Linked DNA regions of Drosophila melanogaster. The gene in region 2 interacts genetically with the main gene of each other region. Each region holds a gene or a part of one and is shown on either strand. Other genes may lie near its edges.

The links. Genes that interact genetically often act in the same process or in processes that back each other up.
Region 1: of Fadd (region 2) and MP1, changing one enhances a phenotype caused by changing the other (phenotypic enhancement), as found in Drosophila melanogaster (one study listed by BioGRID).

What each region holds. Positions count from the first base shown.
Region 1 is NT_033777.3:4,303,920-4,310,335, reverse strand, and holds MP1 (melanization protease 1), read right to left. Parts: upstream 2,429-6,416; 5' UTR 2,350-2,428; coding exon 2,280-2,349; exon of another isoform or gene 2,073-2,279; coding exon 1,909-2,072; coding exon of another isoform or gene 1,882-1,908; exon of another isoform or gene 1,747-1,881; coding exon 1,503-1,746; exon of another isoform or gene 1,442-1,502; coding exon 717-1,441; 3' UTR 501-716; downstream 1-500. Other genes in the region: Vps24 (vacuolar protein sorting 24), read left to right, coding at 1-363. UniProt on the Drosophila melanogaster protein: Serine protease which plays an essential role in the melanization immune response by acting downstream of sp7 to activate prophenoloxidase (PPO1).
Region 2 is NT_033777.3:22,031,229-22,038,584, forward strand, and holds Fadd (Fas-associated death domain), read left to right. Parts: upstream 1-3,226; 5' UTR 3,227-3,334; coding exon 3,335-4,054; 3' UTR 4,055-4,389; downstream 4,390-7,356. Other genes in the region: CG13409 (uncharacterized protein), read right to left, coding at 45-495; CG6015 (uncharacterized protein), read right to left, coding at 998-1,531, 1,592-2,070, 2,136-2,853; CG45099 (uncharacterized protein), read right to left, coding at 2,854-2,958; pit (pitchoune), read left to right, coding at 4,607-4,787, 4,848-5,069, 5,279-5,965, 6,024-6,649, 6,729-7,055.

The sequences.
Region 1 (6,416 bases), about 18 Mb from region 2:
CTGCAAAAGTCTACAGAGGTCTTGCAAGCTATGCAGAGCCTGGTGCGCTATCCAGAGCTTGCAGGCATCATGCGCGACATGTCAAAGGAAATGATGAAGGCCGGCATTATTGAGGAGATGCTAGACGAGACCATGGACTCGCTGGAGGAGTCCGAGGAGCTGGAGGAGGAGGCAAGCAAGGAGGTGGACAAGGTTTTGTGGGAGATCACAGATGGCAAGCTCGGGGAAGCTCCCCTGCCTCCAGAGGCTACACCGGCGGACAAGGCGTCTGCGTCTGCTGCGCGCGTCGAGGCTGAGCAGGACGATGAGGAGGGTGAGGAACTGCAAGAGATGCAAAGCCGCCTGGCCTCGCTGCGATCTTAAAACAACTGCTATGGGTATTTTATTTAGATTTGAAATTAAAGGCAAGTGATTTTGACTGGCAGACCTTATCAAAATCATAAACGGCAACCCCCACGCCGTCATTTGATTGTAGAAACCAAAATAATCTCCAGAAACTTGAATTGAGTTTTTATATTATAAGTGTACAGTACACCAGATCAAGAAGTGTTGAACTCTGCGCGTTTTACCGTTGAATCTACACGAGATAACTTAATTTATTGTAAAATCTACCTTTCATTAAAAATCGATATTTACTGTGGCATGTCCCATTTTACAATGGTAATCTGCACGATTTACGATCAATCCCTAAGAATGTTAATTTTCGTCATTTAAGATTAAGCCCTAACGTTGTTTTCTATCCAGTTCAGATACGCTTCAACCCTTGTGTACACGCCGGGCCATCCTTTTAGGCCACAGGGCGTGGGTCCGTAGGAGACCACACCAGCAATGTAGTAGTTTGAGTTTCCATTGGAGTAGTCCTCGAGCAGAAGGGGGCCACCCGAGTCCCCGCGACAGGAATCAACCCCCTCAACTCCGCCGGCGCACATCTGTTTGGTGGTGACAGTCCTTCTTTGGGTGGCGTATCTTTGGTTGCATTCGGACGTCGGTACCGTATCCAACTCAGCCTTCAGCTTGATATTGGACGTAAAATTTGTCTCCGTGCGACCCCACCCTGCCACCACCACCTTTCGGCCAAGGAATATATTGTTGTGCTGGGACGCTAAAGTGGGCAGACATACTGGTAATATGAAGTCGCTGTACTGAACCTCGTCCCGCAATCGCAGCAACGCAATGTCATTTAGCTGGTCCCGTGAGTTTCCCGGGTACTGCGGGTGCGGAATACGCTCCTCAACAGGGTAGTCTACGTACGGTTCGTTGCAGTCCCGTCGTCCGTTTTTACCGACTGTGCAATCCGGATTGGTGCTCGCATCCCACTCACCCAGGCGTACTCCCGTCAGCTCCCAATCACTGGGAATAGCCGAGACGCAGTGTGCCGCCGTCAGAACGTAACGATGGTTGATTAGAGATCCGCCGCAGTGGTGACCTTTCACGTTACCGGCTGGTAAAATGGGGGGGGGGGGGGATTAGTCCCTGCAGCAGGGAATATTTTGGTTACTCACGCTTCGTGTACTCTATTAGGGCCATCCAAGGAAACTCCCTCTTTGTCGTCTCGTTACCACCCACCACTCGGTCTCCAAAGTTTTCACCGCAATTGGGCGCCATTGGTAACAGTTTGGTCCCAGAGCGTTTTGTAGGCTTAGTGGTCTGAGTAGGTTGAGGATGATTTCCCCACTGAGGTTGCTGGTTTCGCATTCGGCTGTTTGCACAGCAAATCTGAACATTGGTAAAACAAAAATGTTTTTCCTAAATTGATAAAAGTTGATAATAAGAATGCATGGTGGCGTCGCATCGAAAAGCGATTCGATGCGATAGCCATAAGTAAAAGAATTAATTTATATATATGTTCAATGGATGAAAATGATCTTAATCGATTTTAGCACCACAACTTTTTAAGGGGGTACTAACAAGCACTTGTCCATTCCGGTAGCCACATTGGCTGGCTTGCAGAAATCGACGGTCCTGTTCCGTAACCTCTTCGCTTTGAAGCAGTTCGAATAGGTATCCACATTCCCGGAGGTTTATGCAGGTGCCGCTGTTCTCATCAGGCGTTCTACAATACCCAAAGATTTCTGAAAAAAAAAAACGTAAATCGTAAAGCCCGGTTCAAAGATAGTCGTGATTAACAGCGGGAACGGGATTTCTGCGTTCTGGGACCAGCCCACTGTGACTATCATCGACTCAGCCCGACTCGGGGTGAAGTTCACCGCTGATAGGAGGTTGCTTTGTGTTTTGATGCCAGCAACCCCCGACTACGACTGAGAGCCAAAACCACTTGCCTTGTGCGTAAGTGCTGCTTGTTCCCATCAATAGCATCCACAGTACGGTGAAAAAAAAGTGCGGTTCCATGGTTATATCTTCGACTGTACTATAGCACTGTACTTGGAAGAACGATACGCTGACAGAGCGCCTGCCGAGAACACACTGAATGTGGCTATAAACTGGAATGCGATCGAGCTCTAAGTTACAGCTTATCAGCGGTTCTCTCACAGAGAATGGTTCAACCTGAGGAAGCACACCAGCATTAAGAGAGTGCAAGTCTGGGTTTATCTCAGGGTCTGGTTTTGGGCACACCCATACTGGCGAAAAAGCCCGCTCTCAATGTTGGGTCCGCTCTTTATGCGTTGCTCATCAGGGAACTTCCCACGCCAACAGAATGCAGATGATACTTACCCTCTTCTCCTAGGGCTGAAATATCTTGGGTCGGACGATATCTGTAAGTCCATACGGGCCAATCCATTAAAAAATCTGGCAAACCCACTTTATTAACAGAGAGTGAATTTTCACATTCAAACATTTGCAAACCCTCTGTAAAAACAATTTCTGTAAAACATAATAATCGAATATTTTGAAAAATATCAAAATTAAACATTACCAATCTTTTTTTGTAGCCAGATACATAAAATCTTTGAAAATAATTAGGAGAAACTTAGGAAAATATCCTAAAGTAGTTTCCATAATCAATTTTTCTAACTTCGTATATATTCTCTAAACTTCATTAATAGGTATTTAAAACGATTGTACTACTATACTATTATACTTATTTTATCGTTAAGATTCCAGAGAAATACAGTAACCTTAAGTTTTTTAAGTATTGTTAGAAAAATAACAAGAGAGAATGCGAGTTCCCCGACTATCCGATACCCGTTACTCAGCTAGTGTGAATGCGAACGCGAAATTTCATAATTTTTCTGGGATATCAATAGGTATTGGGGAATAAAATGAGAAAAAAAAAATTAATAATTGTTCAAAAGTAGGGCGTGACCGGCTTTAGCTGCTTTAGGGCGTGGCAAAAAGTTTTTTGCCAAATAAATAGAAAATTTACAAGACTAATAAAATTATGAAAAAATATCGAACAATTTTTCAAAATTGTGGGCGTGGCAGTTATGTGCGGTTTAAGGTACTTGCAGTGGGCGTGGCAAGGAAAATAACACATTTTTCAAAAGTGTGGCAACATGGGACAACAAACTTGCGCTGCGCCTGTGACAGACGGACATGGCTTGATCGACTCGGCTATTGATCCTGATTAAGAATATATATACTTTATATAGTCGGAAACGCTTCCATGCGTACATGTAGTTTGTACTTTTCAAAGAATTTATTATACCCTTTTACTCTACGCGTAACTGGTATAAAAAGAACTGAGGTTATGTACTCCATAAGCCAATATAGTTTCAGAAGTGGACGTCCAAGGAGTCACTTTGTTATTCAATTTAATTTCCATGATTTTCTAATCTTTTCTAATCATTTAAATTCATAAATATACAAGCATACCACTTCAATTTGTAATGATATATGAAATTGTTTTAAGTGCTTTTAAATTGTCGTGAGGCGGTTACAAAGCGTTGAGTAGAGCAAAGGCATTATGTCGAATAATTCTACTTCTTATGTCTTTTGGTTGGGTATGGTAATATCGACAGGGCTAGTGATCTTGGTGAAGAAAGCGAATATTTGTGAGGGTTACATCCTTACATTTTACGAGTTTTGGTAAAATAAGACATTATTTTAAAATTGTGACATTGTTTTATCTAGACTGTTTCCGTTTCCGACAGCGTAGTAATTTGCAATTGCAATGTACAGAAAACTTTAAACAGACGCGGCATTATGATGATTGGCTATAAGCTGTAAATGTAGCCTTCGCCAAAAGTAAGAAAGAAATGATTTCAATTTGTTTCAAGCGCTTTTAAGTTAAGGCCGAGTGGCCAAGATGCGAACGAAAAGCACTTAGGCGAACAGTCCCTCAGTTGGCAGTTACCATCTTCCTTCAGAACAGATGCCTCTCGCCCTATCGTTTGCTTAGTGGCCATTAGTTTGCTGATTTAATGCCGTTGCCCACTTCAAGAAAGAGTGGACGTCGTCAATTTTACCATTTCATTTGACAATGCATTTCATTAGGGGTTACCTCCGGCTTATCTTTGAGCTGAACTTCTGACTACTCGTATTAAATTAAATTGGAATCTGCGGGGTAGCAAGAGAATTGCCGTTCCTGACGTTGTGGTTTTGGGCTAATAAACGCCGCTGTTCACACTTCGCTAACTGCAAAGTGTTCTAGCGGTGACACGTGGGGTCTTTCCTTTGTATAATTAAAGGCCGCTCCTACAATATTTATAAGATGATGTCTGTCACTCTACTGGTTTTGCACGAATCTTAAATAATCCTGAATGACAATGAAAGTATTTAAAGAAGACAACGGATTTAATATAAGTTGTACCGAAATACCAATAAACTTTTGTAATTAAGAATAGAATTGAAAGTACTCCCCCCCCCTATCGAACACGAACCAAACCAACAAAGTTTGAAATGCCATCATCCACAATCATCTCCCGCCCGCTTATTGCGCTCTATCTCATATCACAATCCACATAGTGACGAAGCGTAACAGGAGAGTGTGCAAAGACACACACAATATATATAAAAAGAAATGAAAAATTTCTTTGGTCTGCAACTAGACTTAAAACTAAAGGGATACAAAACCAAGATATAAGAAAATAGAATGGTTCAGTAGCAAAAGGTGAACGTGAAATGGGACTGGTGGGTATACAATTTGTTCATAGGAATTCGCATTAAGCGACGCCTTATTTTTAAACCACTAACAGATGTAAAAATGATGTTACAATTTGCGAGATATATTCTTTATCTCGAGTTCGCTAATTAAGAATGTGCATTTAGTTTACTTAATAAGTAAATATTAGAGTGCGTTTAGTCAAGTTCACAAATATTTTTCTACCCAAAAGCTGAAAACAGAACTTTTGTATGTTAGGAGTGATCGTCCCTTGATTTCTTAACTCGTGGTTTATATGTTATATGATAAGGGGTGTTTTCGGCGATTGAAAAAATTACATCCATACATAAGGGCTCACAAAGCCAAGTCAAAGTGAGCAGAGAATGGCTAAATGGGTGGAAGGAAAGTCATCAGGAAAAAGTCGGAAAAGTCTTTGAATTCCCAAACACTTAGGAATGTAATGTCACAACAATGCAGACCACACAACTGCACAGCGACAGCAGCTTGGATTGCTAAGAACGAGTTTTAACAAATTCCAATGTACGCCTCCTACTGAGCAAAATGTTGGCAGAATGATATGCCATGGCATGGCGAGATGAGGATGGTGAATGTGAGGAACGTTGGCCTTTATTACACTTGAGTGTGCGTGGGCGAATCGACTAACACCCCAGAAACTAAAATAAGACGCGGAATGTATTGATTTTTTCATAATGCATTTTTAAACGCTTTATTCTAAATGAACTTGTTCTATATTAAAATATAATTCAACAGTAAATACAATACAACATATTACAATGCAATACAATATATTTCAATTTAACTGGTACAATACTGGTATTCGCTACTCATTCAATCATTCGACTCGCACTTGCATCGCTGCGGTGTTTAGTGCGTGTCCGTGTAGAACTTTGACCTATGAGTAATAATTGTTTGACAGAACCATTGGCATTGGTTGTTAAGTTACTCTATCTTCAAAACGTTATCGAAATGCAAGAATGCTTAATTTAACTGCGATAAGTGGCTAAGCTGCTAACTATTACAGCTGCTTTCGATTTACCAGGGACTTCTACGGCATTTCTTTGAATGTTTCCCATTTCTAAATCGTATTCTTTCGAAGGCAAGGAGATATAATGCAGATATTTAAAAAAAGTCTTGCTATTTTTTGGGGGCTTGTAACGAAAGCAGGTACGCTTTAATTAGATGATAGATGTCCAAAAGTGGTTTATATGATATCAAATGTCAATGAGGCGTGTGTCAAAACTATTGTTATTACTCAATCTGTATATGGTCCTAGGTAATTAATTTAACTTTGGGCTATGCGTCTTTTATTATTTTTAAAGTTAAATTATTCTTGTATATTTTGAGTCGCAAATTTATGATTAATTAGGGTATAGAATCTTTAATATATTTTTAT
Region 2 (7,356 bases):
TGTAAATGTAAGAAAAGTAAAATAGTCGCAATCACAAGACCCACCATCATTGTTGTCCGTCACCAGCTTGGCTATCAGCCACATTTGCTGCGAATATGTGGTGGTCAGCGGCGACTTCATGGCGAAGGGTCCCTTCCCCAGGACCGTTGGGCTATGCGCCAGCGAGGTGTTCGCCAGAATCTGCTGGGCGGTCAGCGATGATGTGCTGGTTATGGGCGGTCCCGTCAGCCCGATGACTATGCCCAGACCGAAGCAGGTGAAGAATCCCAGGAAGACCATGACAAACTCGCGCTTGTGCATCGAGTAGAGTCGCATATGGACGGATCGCTCGCAGCGATCGTGATGATAGGCGGGCGAGATGTACCTGCTGAAGTCGCTGAACAAATCGCTGAACTGTGAGAGGGAAGATTTGAGGCGCAGCAGGAGGCCGCCGGACGGCAGCTGGTAGGCGTAGCCCAGGCCAGAGGCATCCGCATCCGAGTGGGGCTTGGCCATGGCCGCTGGCAGGAATTACGGGTGTCTAGCTGATGCTCGGTGTCCACCTAGCCGTCGCCTTTTACTGCATCTCCTCTACGCCGTAGAACTCTTTTTTTTTCGCGTTTTTTTTACAGATTATTGACAAGTCTTCCACAATCCGTCCGACGTTTGTGCGACTTTCGTGGAAAATATCGATTTTGGCCAGCACTACTCGCATATGTTTTGACTTGCCAGTGGGGGTGGCTGGGCCATTGGGTGGTGGGCCGACCATCCGTCGAGTTGTTTGCCATTTCACATGCACTGCGCATGCGTACTCTTATCACAACTGAAGGTAAATAAAAGCCAATCTCGCAAAGGGGGGAGGGAATATCAAGCAACCGGATGGATAAATAACTTAGGAATTGGGCTTGATACACATGAATTAAATGAGCTCAATTGGAACATAATGGGTAAGCAATATAATCAATCAATTTACACATCAGTTTGGCTTACATCTATCTATGTTATTTTGTGCGGACCATTAGTCCCAGTATTTTATCTGGCCATCCCAGCCAGCGGTGACCACTTTGCTGGCCTCATGCGGATGCCAGAGGGCACTGATGCAGACGCCGTCGTGCGCCTGCCACTTCTTGTACATCTTCGTCGTCTTCCAGTCCCAAATATAACATTTGCCATCGCCATCGCCCGACACCAGATAGCTCATGTCCGGCGAAAAGTCCAGCTGGCAGGCGTAGCCAGAGACCATGTGACCGGTGAAGGTCTTTTTGCGGTTCATCTTGAAGCGATTGAGGGCGGAGAAGATGACGATCTTGTTGTCTAACGACTGGCAGGCCATCCATTTGCCATTGGGCGCCAATGTGACCGCCGGCATGGAATGCATAGTGGGGTCGGCAATGTACTTCATGTCCACAGGAATGTCCCACTCCCATATGCGCATCGATTTGTCGTCCGAGGTGGTCACAAACCGTCGGTTGTCGTCCACAAAGGTGATGGTGCTCACAGATCCCAAGTGCCGGTCGTATTCCTGTACAATATCACCGCTGCGAGTGTCCCACTGCGAATTGATAGGAAAACAATTGTAACATGAGCATCTACTTTTGTAAATTTTACTTACACAAATGATCTTCTTGTCGGAGGTGCCGGCAACGAACAAATGTTGCTTGCTATTATCCGGATGGAATTTCACACAGAAAGGCATTTTACGCGTTGTGAATCGGGACACTACATCGCCCGTTTCGGCATCCCACAACTTTATGTAGCGATCATACGAGGCAGACAGGAAGTTGGTACCCCTGTTGTTCCACGCAATATCCTTGATGGCCTGCCGGTGACCGGAGAAGGTGCGTATGCAGCGTCGCTCGCCGTAAACCTCCCACAGTTTGACGCGACAGTCCATCGATCCGGAGAGCAGAAGATGAGCGGTCTTGGGGAACCAGCGGATGGAGGAGATGCCCTTGTTGTGGCCCGACCAGGTGTGTATGTGCGCCTTGGGCAGAAAGCATTTGGTCGGTGGTGCATTCGATCGTAGATTCACGCCCAGATCATGAGGAGCATGCAAATAAGAGCGGCCCTGATAGTCGTACGCATCCTTGACTGTGGAGCAAAAAAGGAAAAGATTATTAACGATATATATTCGGTGGCTATTGGATTAAACTCACTGTGCAGCGTCGACTTCTCCTCGAGCGGCTTATCCTCGGGAATGCGTCCGCGCTTATGTCGCTTAGACAGCAGCTCGTCCAGTTCGGCGCGCTCCTGTTCATTTGGCTTTGCCACCGACACCTCGTTTTCGAACTTGCCCCAGGGACCCAGAAAGCCCTCAATGTCCTCGGGATTATCATTTTTCTCCTGCTTGCGCAGTTTCTTTGCCTTGGGCGGCTCAAATACCGTCTTGCCATTGTCATCGTACGCAGACTGCAGGTCACCCACAAAAGACTGGCCGTCCGCCTGATCGTCTACGCTGGGGTCCAATGCGTAGCCGTAGGTGTGAAAGGTGCGTCGCTGGTTCTCAAATTCGAAGGCATTGATGTGGGCCTTCTCTACGTAGCCGGCTAGGGTGTTCCGCGGAGCGCGCTGCTGCATGGTGAGGTCCGGATGCTCCGGACCTTTTACCGGAGCATACATCTCCTCATAGCGCGGATTGTAGGTTACCTCCTTGAGCGTGGGATCCAGAGTTCGGGGCACGGCCGATGCTCCAAGGGGAACCACCGTTGGCGCCGCACAAACAGCAATGGACTTGGATAGCGAGTGTGTCTTGTCCACGGGCAGCAGGTGATCCGGAATGGGAGCGGAGGGCTCTGAATTCGTGGTGGCTGTGGCGGCGTCCGCATGGTCCGATTCTTCATCCGAGGAACTGGCGTATGACTGAAGGCCCAACATTTAGAGGCTGCGGACGAACTCTGTGTACTTGTTAACGAAATGCTGAAGGTAAATCAAGACCAGAGTGTAGAGGAGGAATACGAAAACGTTAATGGATATTTCCATTCGTCTACACGTTTGCGTTTATCATTAGTTGCTTCAGTAAAAGTAACAAAAACATAAATATATATCTATCAAAACTAGGGATGGTGCGTGCCATCTGTTATCGATGTTATCGAATGGCTATGTAACGGTCTCACTAATAGATCCCAAACATGCAAGGTGGTGCAAGTTTAAAGCTTATTTTAAATTTTTTAAGTTGTATGGAAATAGTATTTGATATTTTTTTGCTCATTTTGCTCAAACACCTATTCAGTGCTGATCGATAACAGGTAAGGAAATGTTTGGCCATACGGTCATACTACATCAGGGAGTGAAGTTGCGTTGATACATTTTGGGAACTTAAGACCGCTGAAAATACCGTCTCTGTAAATTAGTCACAATGACTGCAGGCAGGCACTGGAGCTACGACAGCCTCAAACAAATCGCCATTGATGGATGCACCGAGAACGTGGAGCAGTTGAAACTAATTTTTGTCGAAGAGATTGGTTCGCGACGCAGATCGGATTGCATACGAACCATCGAGGATTTAATTGACTGCCTGGAACGAGCGGACGAACTATCGGAGTACAATGTGGAGCCACTGCGCCGGATATCAGGCAATATGCCACAGCTCATCGAGGCTCTGAGCGCCTACACAAAGCCGGAAAACATTCTTGGACATCCGGTTAATCTGTACCAGGAACTCCGATTGGCCGAGGAACTTCGTCAGCAGCTCCGTATTGCTCCAGCTTCCCAGAATGCTCAGCCATCAGTTTCGGAATTAGCTGCCGCTGTGCCTCCAACAGCAATCCAAAACTATGCCACCCCAGCTGCTTTTACGGATCACAAACGAACGATGGTCTTTAAGAAAATATCCGAGGAACTGGGTCGCTATTGGCGACGACTGGGCCGATCGGCGGGCATTGGCGAGGGCCAAATGGACACAATCGAGGAGCGCTACCCGCACGACTTGAAGTCCCAGATTCTGCGACTGCTGCAGCTCATCGAAGAGGATGATTGCCACGATCCCAAGCACTTTCTGCTTCGTCTGTGTCGCGCCCTGGGCGATTGTGGTCGCAATGATCTGCGCAAGAGGGTGGAGCAGATAATGTCGCACTAGAACGCATTCACTTATATGCACTTTATATGCATTTTGTTACGATACTAGTAATTAATGTGCTGGAGAGCGACAAAGATGTGCCTTTATTGTAATTATTCACATGTTATTCCAAGGTTGGACAGAGCATAAAAATCGCACACTAAATTAATATGTGTCAACGCGGAATTGTACGATCTTATAAGAAAATGTGATTGACGTATTCCATTCAAAATGGGAATTCACATTTCCTTATCATAAGATAGTCTACAAAAAATATTGTTAACTCGTAATACACAAGTCACATAGTTGAAGATAGCAATGTACAATGGATATAAAATACGTTTTGCAAACGCTTTTGCTTCTCTTATCCTCAAAAGACGGTTGAAAATTTGTTTACAAATAGGGTCACACCTTTTGCATTGAACTATCGAATTGGCAATTATCGATAGGCACAGCTGGCTGAATATCGTTTGCTTCGGGGTGAATGGTTAGCAACACGTGCGCGCAATATTTTATTTGAGAATTCTGTTTTTAACCATTAAACTCTATTAAAAAGCATACATAGTTAGCAATATGTCTATTCGGGAGAAGCTGCTGATGAAGAAGATCGTTAAGCGGGAGAAGATGAAGAAGGAGCTCTCGCAGAAGAAGGGAAACAAGAACGCCCAAAAGCAGGAGCCACCCAAACAAAATGGCAATAAACCCAGTAAAAAACCGGAGAAACTCAGTAAAAAGCATGTGGCCAAGGATGAGGGTACGATTAAAAACGTGTGTGCCTAATAAATATATGTAAGATTCACTTTTCGACCCGCAGATGACGACTTAGAGGAGGATTTCCAGGAGGCGCCGCTGCCCAAGAAGAAGCAACAAAAACAGCCTCCAAAAAAGCAACAAATTCAGGTGGCCAACTCGGATTCGGAATCAGATGACGATGAGCAGGAGGATGAGGCAGATGAGGATAGCGATTTGGACGAAGTAGCCGAAGTTGATGAGGAGGATGTTGACAGCGGGAGTGAAGATGATGACCAGCAGGAAGGTAAGTAAAAGTGTCGATATTTAGGGAATTCGTTCTAACTACCAATAATAATGATGATTTTTAAAGGCGAATTTGAGCAGCTCTGGTGCAGCGAGTTAATGTTGCCCAGGGCAGGCATGAAATCCATTTAAAAACCAACTGAATTATATAAAATACTAAAAAACTGTATCCCTGTGAAAACCAAAATTAACCAAGAGTACCTGTTTCAGATGAAGATGAAGAAGAACCTGTGCCAGCCAAGAAAACGAAGTTGCTTCCCAACAAGTCCAAGGCACAGAATGGCAAACCAGCTAAAGACGACGAGCCCTTTACCGTGGAATCCTCACTGGCTGCACTGGATTACCGAGATTCGGATGATCGCAGCTTTGCCTCTTTAAAGGGCGCCGTGTCCGAGGCCACATTGCGAGCCATTAAGGAGATGGGTTTTACCGAGATGACTGAAATTCAGTCGAAATCGCTGACACCCCTACTAAAGGGACGGGATCTGGTGGGTGCTGCCCAGACGGGTTCCGGCAAAACCCTGGCCTTCCTGATACCCGCCGTCGAGCTGATAAACAAGCTGAGGTTTATGCCACGCAATGGTACCGGCGTGATCATCATCTCACCTACCCGAGAGTTGTCCATGCAAACTTTCGGTGTGCTCAAAGAGCTGATGGCACACCACCATCACACTTATGGCTTGGTAATGGGCGGCTCCAATCGGCAGGTGGAGAGCGAGAAGTTGGGCAAGGGCATCAACATTCTGGTGGCCACACCGGGTCGTCTGCTGGATCATTTACAAAACTCGCCCGACTTTCTGTACAAGAACCTTCAGTGCCTGATTATCGATGAAGTGGATCGAATTCTGGAGATCGGTTTTGAGGAGGAGCTTAAGCAAATAATAAATCTGCTGCCAAGTGAGTTACGGGTAACTAAAGGTTTTTAGTGTATTTTTAAACTAACCTAATCTTTTAGAACGCCGCCAGACGATGCTCTTCTCGGCCACACAGACGGCTCGCATCGAAGCGCTTTCCAAGCTGGCCCTTAAGTCGGAACCAATTTATGTAGGGGTTCACGACAACCAGGACACGGCGACCGTAGATGGACTCGAGCAGGGGTACATTGTTTGCCCCTCGGAGAAGCGACTGCTCGTGCTCTTCACGTTCCTCAAAAAGAATCGTAAGAAGAAGGTGATGGTGTTCTTCTCGTCCTGCATGTCCGTCAAATACCACCACGAGCTCTTCAACTACATTGATCTGCCAGTGACCTCCATCCACGGTAAACAAAAGCAAACGAAACGAACGACCACCTTCTTCCAGTTCTGCAACGCGGAATCTGGGATTCTCTTATGTACGGATGTGGCTGCTCGTGGATTGGACATTCCGCAAGTCGATTGGATTGTGCAGTACGATCCTCCAGATGATCCACGCGAGTATATTCACAGGGTGGGCCGAACGGCCAGAGGATCGGGCACCTCGGGTCACGCCCTCCTTCTGATGCGACCGGAGGAGCTGGGCTTCCTGCGCTACCTTAAGGCCGCCAAGGTGCCGCTCAATGAGTTCGAGTTCTCCTGGCAGAAGATAGCTGATATTCAACTGCAGGTGGGTGCTCTTTCTTTGAGTTAAAATTGTTAGCTATGGTTTAAGGTGATTTAATTCGTATGTTTCTTATCCACTGCAGCTGGAGAAACTGATCGCCAAGAACTATTTCCTAAACCAGTCGGCCAAGGAAGCCTTTAAGTCGTATGTGCGCGCATACGATTCGCATCAATTGAAGCAGATCTTCAATGTGAACACGTTGGACCTGCAGGCGGTTGCGAAAAGCTTTGGATTCCTTGTGCCACCCGTAGTTGACCTGAAGGTGGGCGCGGCCAAGCGGGAGCGACCGGAAAAGCGAGTGGGCGGCGGCGGTTTCGGATTCTACAAGAAAATGAACGAGGGATCGGCTTCCAAGCAGCGGCACTTCAAGCAGGTCAACCGCGACCAGGCCAAGAAGTTTATGCGTTAGTTTTTTAGATTTAAGCAGAGATATACCATTGCATATTGTAAATCAGCTGCTTTACTTGAGTGTGTGTATACATATAGGCAAAAGATATAAAACTAAATGTTTCCAATTCACGAATGCACGTAACCATTTGGCCAGGTCATCATCATCATAATCATTAACAACTGGCATCCCACTCGATCTCTCGATGCGGATGTGACTTCTCCTTATTTGCCGCTTGTTGTTTCAAATGTTTATTGTTGTCGCCGTCGAGTCGAGCTGAGTCGCCTCCCCAAATTTGGCCGATTGCGTTTTTTTATTTCGT